3 linked regions of the Zea mays genome follow. The protein of the gene in region 2 binds, or shares a complex with, the protein of the main gene of each other region. Links are inferred from orthologs where the notes say so. Each region holds a gene or a part of one and is shown on either strand. Other genes may lie near its edges.

What was found.
Region 1: Protein PLASTID TRANSCRIPTIONALLY ACTIVE 14-like (region 2) and protein PLASTID TRANSCRIPTIONALLY ACTIVE 12, chloroplastic share a complex: the UniProt entries of both Arabidopsis thaliana proteins name them as parts of the transcriptionally active chromosome (TAC) complex. The link is inferred for Zea mays from reciprocal best matches to the Arabidopsis thaliana genes PTAC14 and PTAC12.
Region 3: Protein PLASTID TRANSCRIPTIONALLY ACTIVE 14-like (region 2) and Thioredoxin-like fold domain-containing protein MRL7 homolog, chloroplastic share a complex: the UniProt entries of both Arabidopsis thaliana proteins name them as parts of the transcriptionally active chromosome (TAC) complex. The link is inferred for Zea mays from reciprocal best matches to the Arabidopsis thaliana genes PTAC14 and MRL7.

The regions. Positions count from the first base shown.
Region 1 is NC_050098.1:198,690,692-198,694,291, forward strand, and holds the start of protein PLASTID TRANSCRIPTIONALLY ACTIVE 12, chloroplastic, read right to left. Parts: upstream 2,399-3,600; 5' UTR 2,207-2,398; coding exon 2,170-2,206; intron 2,075-2,169; coding exon 2,007-2,074; intron 1,912-2,006; coding exon 1,246-1,911; intron 660-1,245; coding exon 547-659; intron 187-546; coding exon 1-186. UniProt on the Arabidopsis thaliana protein: Involved in plastid gene expression. Acidic transcriptional coactivator necessary for the transactivation of many PIFs target genes (class B genes), particularly during the regulation of hypocotyl growth.
Region 2 is NC_050103.1:78,053,004-78,056,957, reverse strand, and holds the start of Protein PLASTID TRANSCRIPTIONALLY ACTIVE 14-like, read right to left. Parts: upstream 2,365-3,954; 5' UTR 2,356-2,364; coding exon 2,113-2,355; intron 2,002-2,112; coding exon 1,864-2,001; intron 1,299-1,863; coding exon 1,173-1,298; intron 706-1,172; coding exon 577-705; intron 469-576; coding exon 379-468; intron 307-378; coding exon 156-306; intron 1-155. UniProt on the Arabidopsis thaliana protein: Essential for chloroplast development, especially for thylakoid formation. Involved in plastid gene expression, probably by maintaining plastid-encoded RNA polymerase (PEP) activity.
Region 3 is NC_050098.1:188,498,179-188,501,778, reverse strand, and holds the start of Thioredoxin-like fold domain-containing protein MRL7 homolog, chloroplastic, read left to right. Parts: upstream 1-987; 5' UTR 988-1,031; coding exon 1,032-1,717; intron 1,718-2,012; coding exon 2,013-2,097; intron 2,098-2,183; coding exon 2,184-2,295; intron 2,296-3,600. UniProt on the Arabidopsis thaliana protein: Plays an essential role in early steps of chloroplast development. Involved in the regulation of plastid gene expression. May positively regulate plastid-encoded RNA polymerase (PEP) activity through binding to FSD3 and CITRX/TRXZ.

The DNA of each region.
Region 1 (3,600 bases), on a different chromosome or scaffold from region 2:
CGATATTCCCCAGCAGTTTGGTGTTGAAACATTTTTATAAGTTGAACATTCTCATCTTCGCCAGTTTCCTCAAAGTGCTTCTGTATGGCCTCACGTGATGTATCCTTGTTTTTATAAGCTTCAACCCATTCTGAGTAGTACGCTATTGGCCCTATTTCTTCTAGTCTCCTTTGCTCTGCTTCTAACCTGTTTTTATATTGTATATTAAATGTAAGAGTATAAATGGGCAAGATAAACTTGTGTCAATTAAAAAAATTGATCCTCGACATCTTTCTGATGCAGTATTTAAGAATATATGATGAGACCGCCACATATTTGTAATATGTGGCATAACTTGGAGAAGGTGTAAATCCAAGAGCAGTTAAATAGGTTTACGAAAGATTATGTGATGAGACCATGCACGAGTGGTGGTACTACCAACTCAAATGATGTAAGGCAATTAGTAGAAACAATGTGTGCACAGATATTCAATAAAATCATTCGGTAAAGATGTACTGCAAAAATATATGGTATAATAATTCTAGTATTCTGTGGATGTAAGTCAACCTTTCCTCTTTGTACAAATGTCTTCTTGTCTTTGCAAGAGCAGCTTCTGTCCGTGAAGGATGGTCCCCAAAAATTTTAATTTGCCCAGTCTCCGCCATTGCCTTTGCAAAAACCTAAAATGATACAGCATACATTACAATTTATAATGTGGATCGCCGTCACGGAATATAAGTTAGTTGAAACACCAGTCAACGTAAAAAATAAAATCACAAAGCCTCAACCATATCAAGCGATATGAACAGACAAACCTGCACATCGATATACATGCACAGACGTCAACGCCATAACCCATAAGCACAAACCTCACCTTTACATCTGTGAGACTGACACTCTTCTCACGTTCACAGTACAAACAGAATAACTGGAGAACCATAAAATAATTGACACCATGGTCGCTAACACTTGACAGTAATTAGCAACACAAATACCATATACTTGGCTAGCTACTTTTGGACGGATAAAACAAACAAAATGACACTGGAAGATCACATGGAAATTGTTCCGTACGTGCAACATTTATACTATATGAACTATAAATGAGGCATAGAAATACTAGCGAGTACCATAGCAATACTCAAAATCATACATTTATGGCCTTTTGTTGCAGTACCTTTCAATGTCCGGAATTGGTGAACAGCCCCAATATAAGGAAACATCACTACCTACCACTTGCTAGGTTCAATCAAGTGAGGAACTAACCGTGTCAACATCTGGACGCCTCCTCTGCCATCTTGACCACATTTCCTCCTCCTGAGACTTCCTCCTCCAGTGCCACCAGAGCTCTTCACTGGTTTTCGGCTCCCCTAGTGACATTGCCTTTGCTGGATCAATGAACGGGTGTGGCCGCCCCATCATTTTGTCCATGTCATACTCACTCAGCTCCTCTTCCTCTGGTGTCTCATAAATGACATACTCATCCACCGAATCCTTTATCTCCTCCAATGCATCGTCCCCAGAGCCTATAATAGCCACATCAGGTTCATCACCATCCTTTCTGTCATCAGTCTGTGCACCCTCCGTTCCTGACGCCGACGTCACCTGCTCCTTATACCCTCTCCTCCTGCTCCCGGGCTTCGTGCCAAATGATGGCATCCCAGCTGACTCCCCAACCGGAGCAGGCGCTCGCGCGGCACGGACGCGGGCCGCCGTGCCCTCTGGCCAGTACTCCTTCCCGGGTATGCTTGCCCGAGCGCCCGACGCCGGCTCGAGCTGACCGGATGTGGAGTCGAAGTAGCTGGAGTACGGTGGCGGTTCTATCTTCGACGGGTCGAAATGGAGAGAGTCGTCCTTGACGCACTTGATCCTGGCACGCCGCGTGCCCAGGAACAGCAGACCCCTCCGGTGAGGCAAAGCACTGAACACTTTCTGTGCACGCACCGAACGACCTCCAGTCAGGCGCGTAAACCGAACTGGAACTAGGAACCAAAGTTATAAACTGTACGAGGCGTTTAGGCACTTACCGAGGACTTGCAGGTGCGAGAATGAGCCGGCGCCGTGACGGGCCCGGCAGGGACCGCCGTCGACATGCCTGAACAGTTTCAACAGAGTGGCTGTGATATCTGACGAGACGAACTGTGCGCAGGGAATAACGAACGATGAAATGGGGTCCAAGCTGGAGGTTACCTGGGAATAGGCGCCACGGGTTGTAGCAGGACGCCATGGTAGCGGCTCCCGCTATGGTGCTGCTTGCAGCGGTAGGGCGTAGGCGTCAGTCAATTCGTAGTGCGCGGGCGAGAGTGAGGTGCGAATCCGGCGGCGAGGTTTTGGATGGGACCTTCGGAGATTGCCGCGTTCAGGATAACGAGAAGGCTGAAGGAAGAAAGCGCTCACGTGGAAGGAGGTTGTCTTTCGACTTTAGAGAAGTGTAATAGCGGGCTATAAGACTGTCGCTTCACTCTACACATCTCCTACCCTATTACTGTTCATTCTATAGTGGCTACAGTACTCTCCTACCTCCCGCAGCGGCGAGCGCCACTCTCTCCCCTACCTCGCCGCACTCTTCTCTCTCATGCCAGATGCAGGGGATGACTATAACCGCCCCCTCGCCTCCTTCACGCGGACGGAGCCGGCCGCGCCAGACTACGGAAACTTCTCGGTCCACCTCGCTTCGCCTCGACCCCTCCGCGGAAGAGCGATTTAGCGCGGCGACGCGGCGGCGGATCTCCCGTCGGCCGGTGGAGTCGGCCCCGGCCCCCCTCGGTTGCACAGAAGAGGACCTCGACTTCGTGACCACGCAGTGCCGTTCGCGACCGAAGACGAAGAGGAGTCCAATCCGCTTCCGGCGAGGTACGTCGCGACCGATTCGTTGGCTTCCGTCTCCGACCATCGACGGCGCCATCAGATCCACACGGAGACGCTTCGATTCGGCGTGTTGCGGCCGAGATCTCCCCTTCTTAAGGTATTACCTTCTTCAACCTCGTCAAATCAATACTTATTTCACGATTGATTTAGAACAGCACTCGTATTTTGCTTCGATTCGCCGTCTTGCGGGCGAGATCCTCCCTTCTTGAGGTATACCATCTTGTACCCCGTCAAATGAATACTTCATTCAGGAAATATTTAGATCAGCACTGGTTTTGTTCAAAAATCCTAGTTTATTTTGGCCAGCCCATATGAGTTTAGCAGATCCACACTTGTAGTTTGAGCTGTGAACTTGTTACGTTGTTCATCCTCCGATTTAGCCCCCTGGTGGAACAAACTTTGTCTGTACCACGACATGGGAATACACACCAACACTAAGTAGTCGTGCGCATTCGGAACCACTTTGAACCCTTCTTTGGGCGTCATGTTTCTAGGAGATGCAGACGGCCCCTACAATTTATCAGTTCACCCGTACTTGCCAATGGAACCAAGGTTTTCAAACTCGTAGCCTAACATTAGCCATGACAGCAAATCTATTTCCCCAGTGATGTTCATTCCACTGAAGCAGATGTTTATTAAGTGAACAAATTGTATTTGTGGCGTTTCTGGGGAATGTTACCCTTTCGTAGCATTTTAGTCTTCACCCATATATGGCATTCCACTGACACCCTGATTATGTCATAATTCATTGTG
Region 2 (3,954 bases):
TCCAGTTGAAATGCATAGCTAACCATATTTTTGTGACTATTATTACAGGCTCATAACGCTAGCATCCTGTTGTTCACTTAGGTGCCTATGCATAACGCAACGGAGAGGGGGAGGGGGAGCAGCAATCACGAAAACCAAAAAAAGAAAAGAAGTACCAGCATAAGGAGCTAGCACATTTGCATCTTGGATGAAGGCTCCCATTCTCAACTTCAAGTTGACAGAACGAGACTGTACTATACTCAGTGCCCAGAGAAATCTCTCATGGTCACGTGCAAGGCGTTTCAGCTTTAGAGGAATTGGTTTGTCCTGGATATTACCCATCAAGCTAGTTAGAGGAGTTCAAGGAAGGTAAGCTAGTAACATAATGAAGAAGTATACCCAATGCTTTTGCCAAAAGTCAATTGCTCGTTCCTGGTGTTTTAACATTTGTGAAGCAAGATCTTCATCTTCTAGTTCCATTAGATCTTCCTAGAAAGGCAGGCATATGAATTCATTCAAACAGCAGAATCAAGTATAAGGAGGTTCCTAAGAAAAGGACACAGCAGAGGTATATACTTTCCGTTAGCTTTTTGATACCTTTGGTGCCAGCAGCAAACTAGTGCATTCATCAACACTTGGCAAAAAATCAGAATATAACTGCCAAAAGTTGTCTTCTATATCAAATGCATATAGAAGAAGACATGCTAATCTTAGATCCCAATCTGTCTGCAAGAGTAATACAAATTACATCAGCTTCCAGCATAGATCATTTATTGGCGCTTTAATATTTGTTGAAGAAAAGACAGATGATTGAGTTTTTGAAAGTGGTATCACTCCTCTCTAATGCAACTGTGAGCTTATGGGTCGATAACTTCAACCATATGGATGGAATGTGCACATAAATTGCTCTGCAGTCTCAAATTCTCAATTACACAGATCCTAGCTGTATGGAAACTCAAATGTACTATATGAACATTGAATGCTAAATTGCACCCATACAACTTCAACACAAGTCAATTAGATGGCTGTTATGTAATGAATCCTAAAATAAATATAGGAGAACCAACAACTGGTTAACAAAATGATTAGCGTGACAAAGCTATTAACTAATTCGCTGAACATTCAATAGAAACTAGTGACGGAATTTTAAGAGATCAGTTTTCTCTTTGCAACAAAAGATTTGATCCACCTACCTCTGGATCTGTTGACTCGATAACATCAAATATAGGATGGCCTAGTGGAATAATGTCAGGGAAAAACATCCAAGGTTTCTTTTGAGTTATAGTCAGCATCAGCTCCAACGGAATCTCCATAATCACCTGGAAAAGAAAGCAACATCAGCACATCTTTCAATAACATTGCTCATCATTGCGAACGAAAAGAACCAAATATGTTATACAAACAGTTTCAGCATGCCAAGAATATCATATAATTCTTTTGAACAAGACCATCGTACTACAGGTCTATAGCATGCATCAAGATGAAGAATTCAACACATGGGTCTGGCATTTCGTGAGCTTAATGCGACTGCGAGCAAACATGTGTTATAACTATAGATGCCATATTTTTTGGTGACAGCAAGTATGTAGCAAATAACAATTAGGCAATTAACATAAGCCATTGACTTCCAGTGGTAATGTATACTACCTACTAAATATAGTGTAAATATAATCTAACAGTTACTACACACGAACAACGTCCTTGACCAGTTATTCTCATGTGAGTTTCCCACCCAATCACAGATTCACAGGTGCTGCATCCAAACACTAACTGGTGTGGTGATGGACGTCCAGCTGCAATGAGACAGAGATTTAAACCTCAAATTGATCGGTAGCTAGTGGTTGGACTTGGACAAGAGGAGAATTGTTGAATGAAGTGTCTCACTCTAGCTCTGCGAAGTGGCTCCACGTCCCGGGAAGCGTAGACGCCCATCCCGTCGGGGCCTTCGAGGAACTCGATCCCATAGGCGCGCATCATCCGCGCATATCCTATCCGGTAGAAATCAGGGTCCGCGGGCTCCATCTACACACAATGCGATGACGTACGTAGACGATAACCGTCAATCGAGCGATTCTAAATTCGGCGGTGAGACCGGCGTCTGTAAGCGAGCGAGGAAAGCGTGAGGGTGAGGACCTCGGGCGGGAAGGGGTCGTCCTCCTGCGGCGGCTCGAGCAGCCTGAGCGGAGGCGTGTCGTCCCGCTCCGCCGCGACCTCCGCCACCGGGGGAGGAGCCGGCGCCGGCGCCTGCAGGCGCGGGCGGCCCGCGCGGAGGTGACGCGGTTGCCGCCGGACGAGGTGTCGCCAGGGTGTCCGGCGGGGGAATGAGTTAGGGAGAACGGAGGGGAAGAGGAGGGCGGGGGCGGTGGGGATGGCCATGGCAAGGACAGGGAGGGACGGTGAACTGGACTCGCCGAAGACGTTATCTGTTGAGTACTTGAGTGGCGGGCTGATTTTTTTGCATTTTGATCCTTCATCGGAAAAAAATTCACGTTTGGACCCTATAAAATTTTAATGTCATTTTTGGACCCTTTACTCGGCGCCGTAGCCTGTGGCGCCGAGGTAACACAGCTCGGCGCCATAGGCTATGGCGCCGAGGTACGTGCTGCGTTGGCACAAACGGACGTCGTGGCGCCCAACTTTTTTGCAAATTGGCCCTTTTCGGGTTTTTTCCCACAAATATGCCCCTGGCAGTTTCATTTCAAAAAATGGACCCTTAGCTCGGCGCCGTCATCATTGGCGCCGAGCTTCTGTGTGCCGGCGCCAATACTATTGGCGCTTATACATCAGACGTGGCGGTTGGCTGGCAGTGACGTGTCAGGGGGTCGGCGCCAAGATCTATGGCGCCGACCCCCGGGTCGGCGGCGCAACACGTGTCCGGGGGGTCGGCGCCATAGATCTTGGCGTCGACCCCCTGTATTCAACCTCTGTCAATCTTCTGTGCAAAAAAAATTGAACTCACGCCGCCCCCAAGACCCCGCGCCGGCGCTACTCCTTCCCCGGCCCGCGCTACTCCCCGGCGGCGCTCCACCACCGGCCGCCGCCGCCCCGCCCGCCCCCGGCCGGCGCCGCTCCTCCACCGGCCGGCGACGCCAAGCCCGTCCCCGCCCGGCGCCGCTCCTCCCCGGCCGGCGACCCCCCGCCCGCACCCGGCCGGCGCCGCTCCTCCCCGGCCGGCGACGCCCCGCCCACACCCGGCCTTGCGCCGCTCCTCCCCGGCCGGCGACGCCCCGCCACACACGCCCCCGCCCCTCAAGCGCCCCCGCCGCCCCGCCCGGCGCCGCTCCTCCCCCGACCGGCGCCGCCCGGACACGCCACGCCCGCCCCCCGGCAGCCCCGCCAGCCCTGACCGCGCCGCCGCCCCGACACGGCCGGACGCCTCCCACCGCCGCCGCACGGCCGTCGTCCCGTTCCGGGCGCGCTCCTCGGTCGCGCTCGCTCCTCGCCCGCGTCGTCGACGTTCATCCCCGACCGTTTAGGTAAATTTTATATGGTTTTTGTTTATTGTGTAAGCATTTTGTGTTAATTATGTTAAATTGTTTTGCTATAATTTGTGGTTTTTTGAATGTGATGAATGTTAGTTATTGTGATAAATGCTAATTTGATTGAATATTATGAATGTGAGTCAAATGTGCATGTTTTTTATCCTCCCCGTGCAGGGGAGGTGCTGTCAAAATTTGCAATTATTATATATGAGTATTTTATAATGTGATAAATGCTAATTTGATTGAATATTATGAATGTGAGTCAAATGTGCATGTTTTTTATCCTCCCCGTGCAGGGGAGGTGCTGTCAAAATTTGCAATTATTATATATGAGTATTTTATAATGTGGTTAGTATATTAGTGGGTGGTGGTTATATTTGTACTTATTTAGGTAGTAATTAGTGGTTTGTGGTTAGGTAATAACCATCCACAGTTTATATTGAATGTTTAATTGGTGTTTCAAATAGATGGACAATTTTTTGAGCTTGTATCA
Region 3 (3,600 bases), on a different chromosome or scaffold from region 2:
CCACTACCCGTGCTAGTGTTCCTTGCTTGGCTGATGTTGTTCCTTAGGGGCATTTACAGTGGTAGATTTCATAATTAAGAAAGAAATGAGATATTTATTGAAACAATCTCTCATAGTGAAGAGTTTCATTCAGCACGGTTTCATAGTTAACATGTAAAAGACAATATGTCTAGGTAATAATGTATACATGGTTTCATCTCCATGAAAATCATTTCATCTCTTTGTTTATTAATTGCTTGCCACATCATCTAAACTGCTGACATGGCACACCATTAATAAGAACGAAGCCCCTATGAAACTGACCATAGAAAATGGCATTAGCATCTAAGGTGCACAAAATAGTCTTTATGTCGTCTTAGGTAGCCCACAATGAGGGGTGCAACTTTCTTCTGTTAGACTGTATCTTTCCAAACTCATTTTGACAGTAAGTGTACATTCAGTGAATATGTGATACATTATTTCAAGGTTTCAGAAGCACAACTGATGGAAATAGTTATTTGGATAGCTCCATAGTTAATTGGTGTACTTTGTTGTTTATAAAACCAAAAATTACAATGTTCGAGAGGGTTAAGTTCCAATAGAATTTTTTGGGTTCCATCCTTATTAGAATAGGTAGGTTTGACGTCACGACTCTTCTCGTTTATTAGAGTTTGGGACGGTTGAGCAATATATGCGTAGTTCTTCACATTCGTCTAAATTTATAATGTTTTCTAGACTAAACTAACTATTGAAATATGACACATACACAATTATCATTTACTGATGTTATAGAGATAAGTTTCTCTCTTCTTTTGGTTTGAGAGATCCAAAGGGATTAAGATACTCCATTTGCTCTAATTTTGGCAGTTCCTCACACTCGTCATGCTTTCACGAATCATTCACGAGGCTGGAAGCGTCAGTGCCGTTGGATTTGAGAAGATCACGAGACCAACGGGCAACGGCGGACGAGAAACCGCCATTCGGATAGCACGGGCGCACCTGCCGACCGGCGAAACCCAGCCGCATACTCGCGCCCATTCTCGCCGCGCACGATGCTCCGTCTCCCCACCCTCACCGCCCTTAAACCCTCAACCCCCGCCATCAGCTTGAACCGTGTCGGCTGCAGCCATGGCCGCCGCCGCCGCAAGCTCATCTTTGTCTCATCCGCTCCTCCGCCGTCTTCTTCGTCTTCACGGCCTCCGAAGCCGACGTCGAACCCGGAACCACCAAAGCCCACACATGAGGCCCGCAACCGGAACCCGGATGGATCCACCGAGGCAGGGTTCCCCACAACCAAGCCCCGGAAGCCACGCCGTGGGCGCCGCAGCGAGTCGGCGGCCGTGGAGGACTTCGTCCGCAACCGCCTTGAGCAGGTCTTTGCCTCCATCCAGGAGCGCAACCCCGACGTCCTCGAGGGCAAAGGCGACATCCTGAAGCCGAAGGCCGATGTGGAGCGATTACCAGACGACGAGGGAGAGGGAGAAGGAGGAGAACAGAAGCCCGTGGTGGAAGAGGAGGACCCGAGCTGGCCGCTGGATGCCGATGTCGGATGGGGGATCCGGGCCTCAGAGTACTTCGACAAGCACTCGATCAGAAATGTCACAGTGGACGGGGTGGAGATCGATTGGGAAGGGGACGTCGACGAGGGGTGGGTCAAGGAAATCAATTGCTTGGAGTGGGAGAGCTTCGCATTCCACCCCAGCCCCTTAGTCGTCCTAGTCTTCGAGCGGTACAACAGGTAAGGACCATCCATTCCCTGTCTAGTTTTGATTTGTAAACTGTTGGCATTATGTTTGGAATGGGCTGTGTGTAACCCAATCACCATTTTAAGCTTTGCATTGTGTAATGCGGATGTCCGTAAAGTGTGAATCAAACGAAACTAGAAACTTCAGAACTGTCCTGGTACTGACAGATAAACGGCAAAACAGGCTTCAGTTTCTGGAATTGCTTTGTTTAGGGTGAAGTTTATTAGTTTATTTACAGGAGGCTTTGATTGTGTAGTATTGAACCCTGCATGATGTTGTGATTTGCAGGGCTGCTGACAATTGGAAGTTTCTTCAAGAATTGGAAAAGGCTGCTAAGGTGTACTGGAATGCTAAAGATCGCTTACCTCCTCGGGTAAGTTTGAATAGCATCTTTTGATTATTTGGCTGGGTTACTGGTCTTTGTGCAGGTCCTAAGTTTTGTTTTGTTTTGTTTAATAGACAGTCAAAGTTGATATAAATATTGAGAGGGATTTGGCATATGCACTTCAAGCAAGAGAATGTCCACAATTATTGTTCCTTAGGGGAAACAAGATCTTATATAGAGAAAAAGGTATGTCAAACTAACACCCCAACCTAGCCACCCCTATATGGTTCAAATTGTCCTTGTGAGAATTCTATAAAAAAAATAGTGAGGGTTACCTTTTTTCTTGCGGGAAATTAATTGAGAAACAAAATAGGTAAGTAGAGGTGAGACCTACTTATCATTGTGACATTTGAGAGGAAGAGGAAACTCCCATTAGAAGATTGGAGAGAAAAGGGGATCTATTAGTTGAGCCTCTCCACAATAGAGCAAAGGACGTATTTCCAGCTCAATTTATACGCCCATGCGGCCCATAAGATGAGCTCCTGACAGGATTCCCGTTGGAGTTCATCCTCCATTTTTCTCAATCTGAAGGTTTTGTTTCCATGCTAAAACGTCCATACAGTCAGTGGCGGACCCAGGGTCCAGCGACCCTAGGCGCCTGGCCAGACTTTGGTGCCAGCGCACAATTAGCTATTCATCGCAGCACCTTAATCGGAAGCTTTGAATCATTTGATCTGAGTGATGTCTTAAGTCTCGTCCGGGCTCTATTTCAGTTCTGGGTCCGCTACTGCATCCAATTCTGTTCCAGCCCCAGCTCAATGCACCAGCGACAGCACCCTGCAGTTCTGATCACGGGAAATTCCATTTTACTAAGGGCTAGTTTGGAAACCCTATTTTCCCATGGTATTTTCATTTTCCCAAGGGAAATTAGTTCATTTTCCTTTGGGAAAATAGAAATCCCTTGGGAAAATGGTGTTTCCAAACTAGCCCTAAAGGATTCCTATTTTCCCAAGGGAAAATGAACTAATTTCTCTTGGAAAAATAGAAATCCCTTAGGAAAATGTGGTTCCCAAACTAGCCCTTAAACGGAAAAACAGTAGAGGAAATTCCTACTGCTGTAAGCACACACAAGCACACATTGTTATGTATACACTCAATAGTCGTGTGTCAGTAGTATTCAGTATTTCGTGGTACTGACGCGTACTACTGGTTGGTACTGGATGTGGTTCATTCGTATTCAGTATTTCATGGTCAGTTTTAGCTACTAGGTGTAGAATAGCATTGCCAGTTTTATCTGAGAGAGGGAGGGAGGCTGTTACACAATTGAAGAAAAGAAAAGCACAATTACAGGAATCATAGGGCTGAAGCAACTACAGCCTACAAAAAGAGAGGAAATTCAAGGACAAAAGGACAATTCTGAAGGCCCTTCAATCCTGTGTAACTGCAGTGAAACTTTGGGCGTGTTTGGTTCTGGCTTCTAGGCCCAGGCAGGTTAAAAAAACTCAGCCGGCAAGGAAAGACCACCTCACGGTATTATATTAAGAAGCTTAA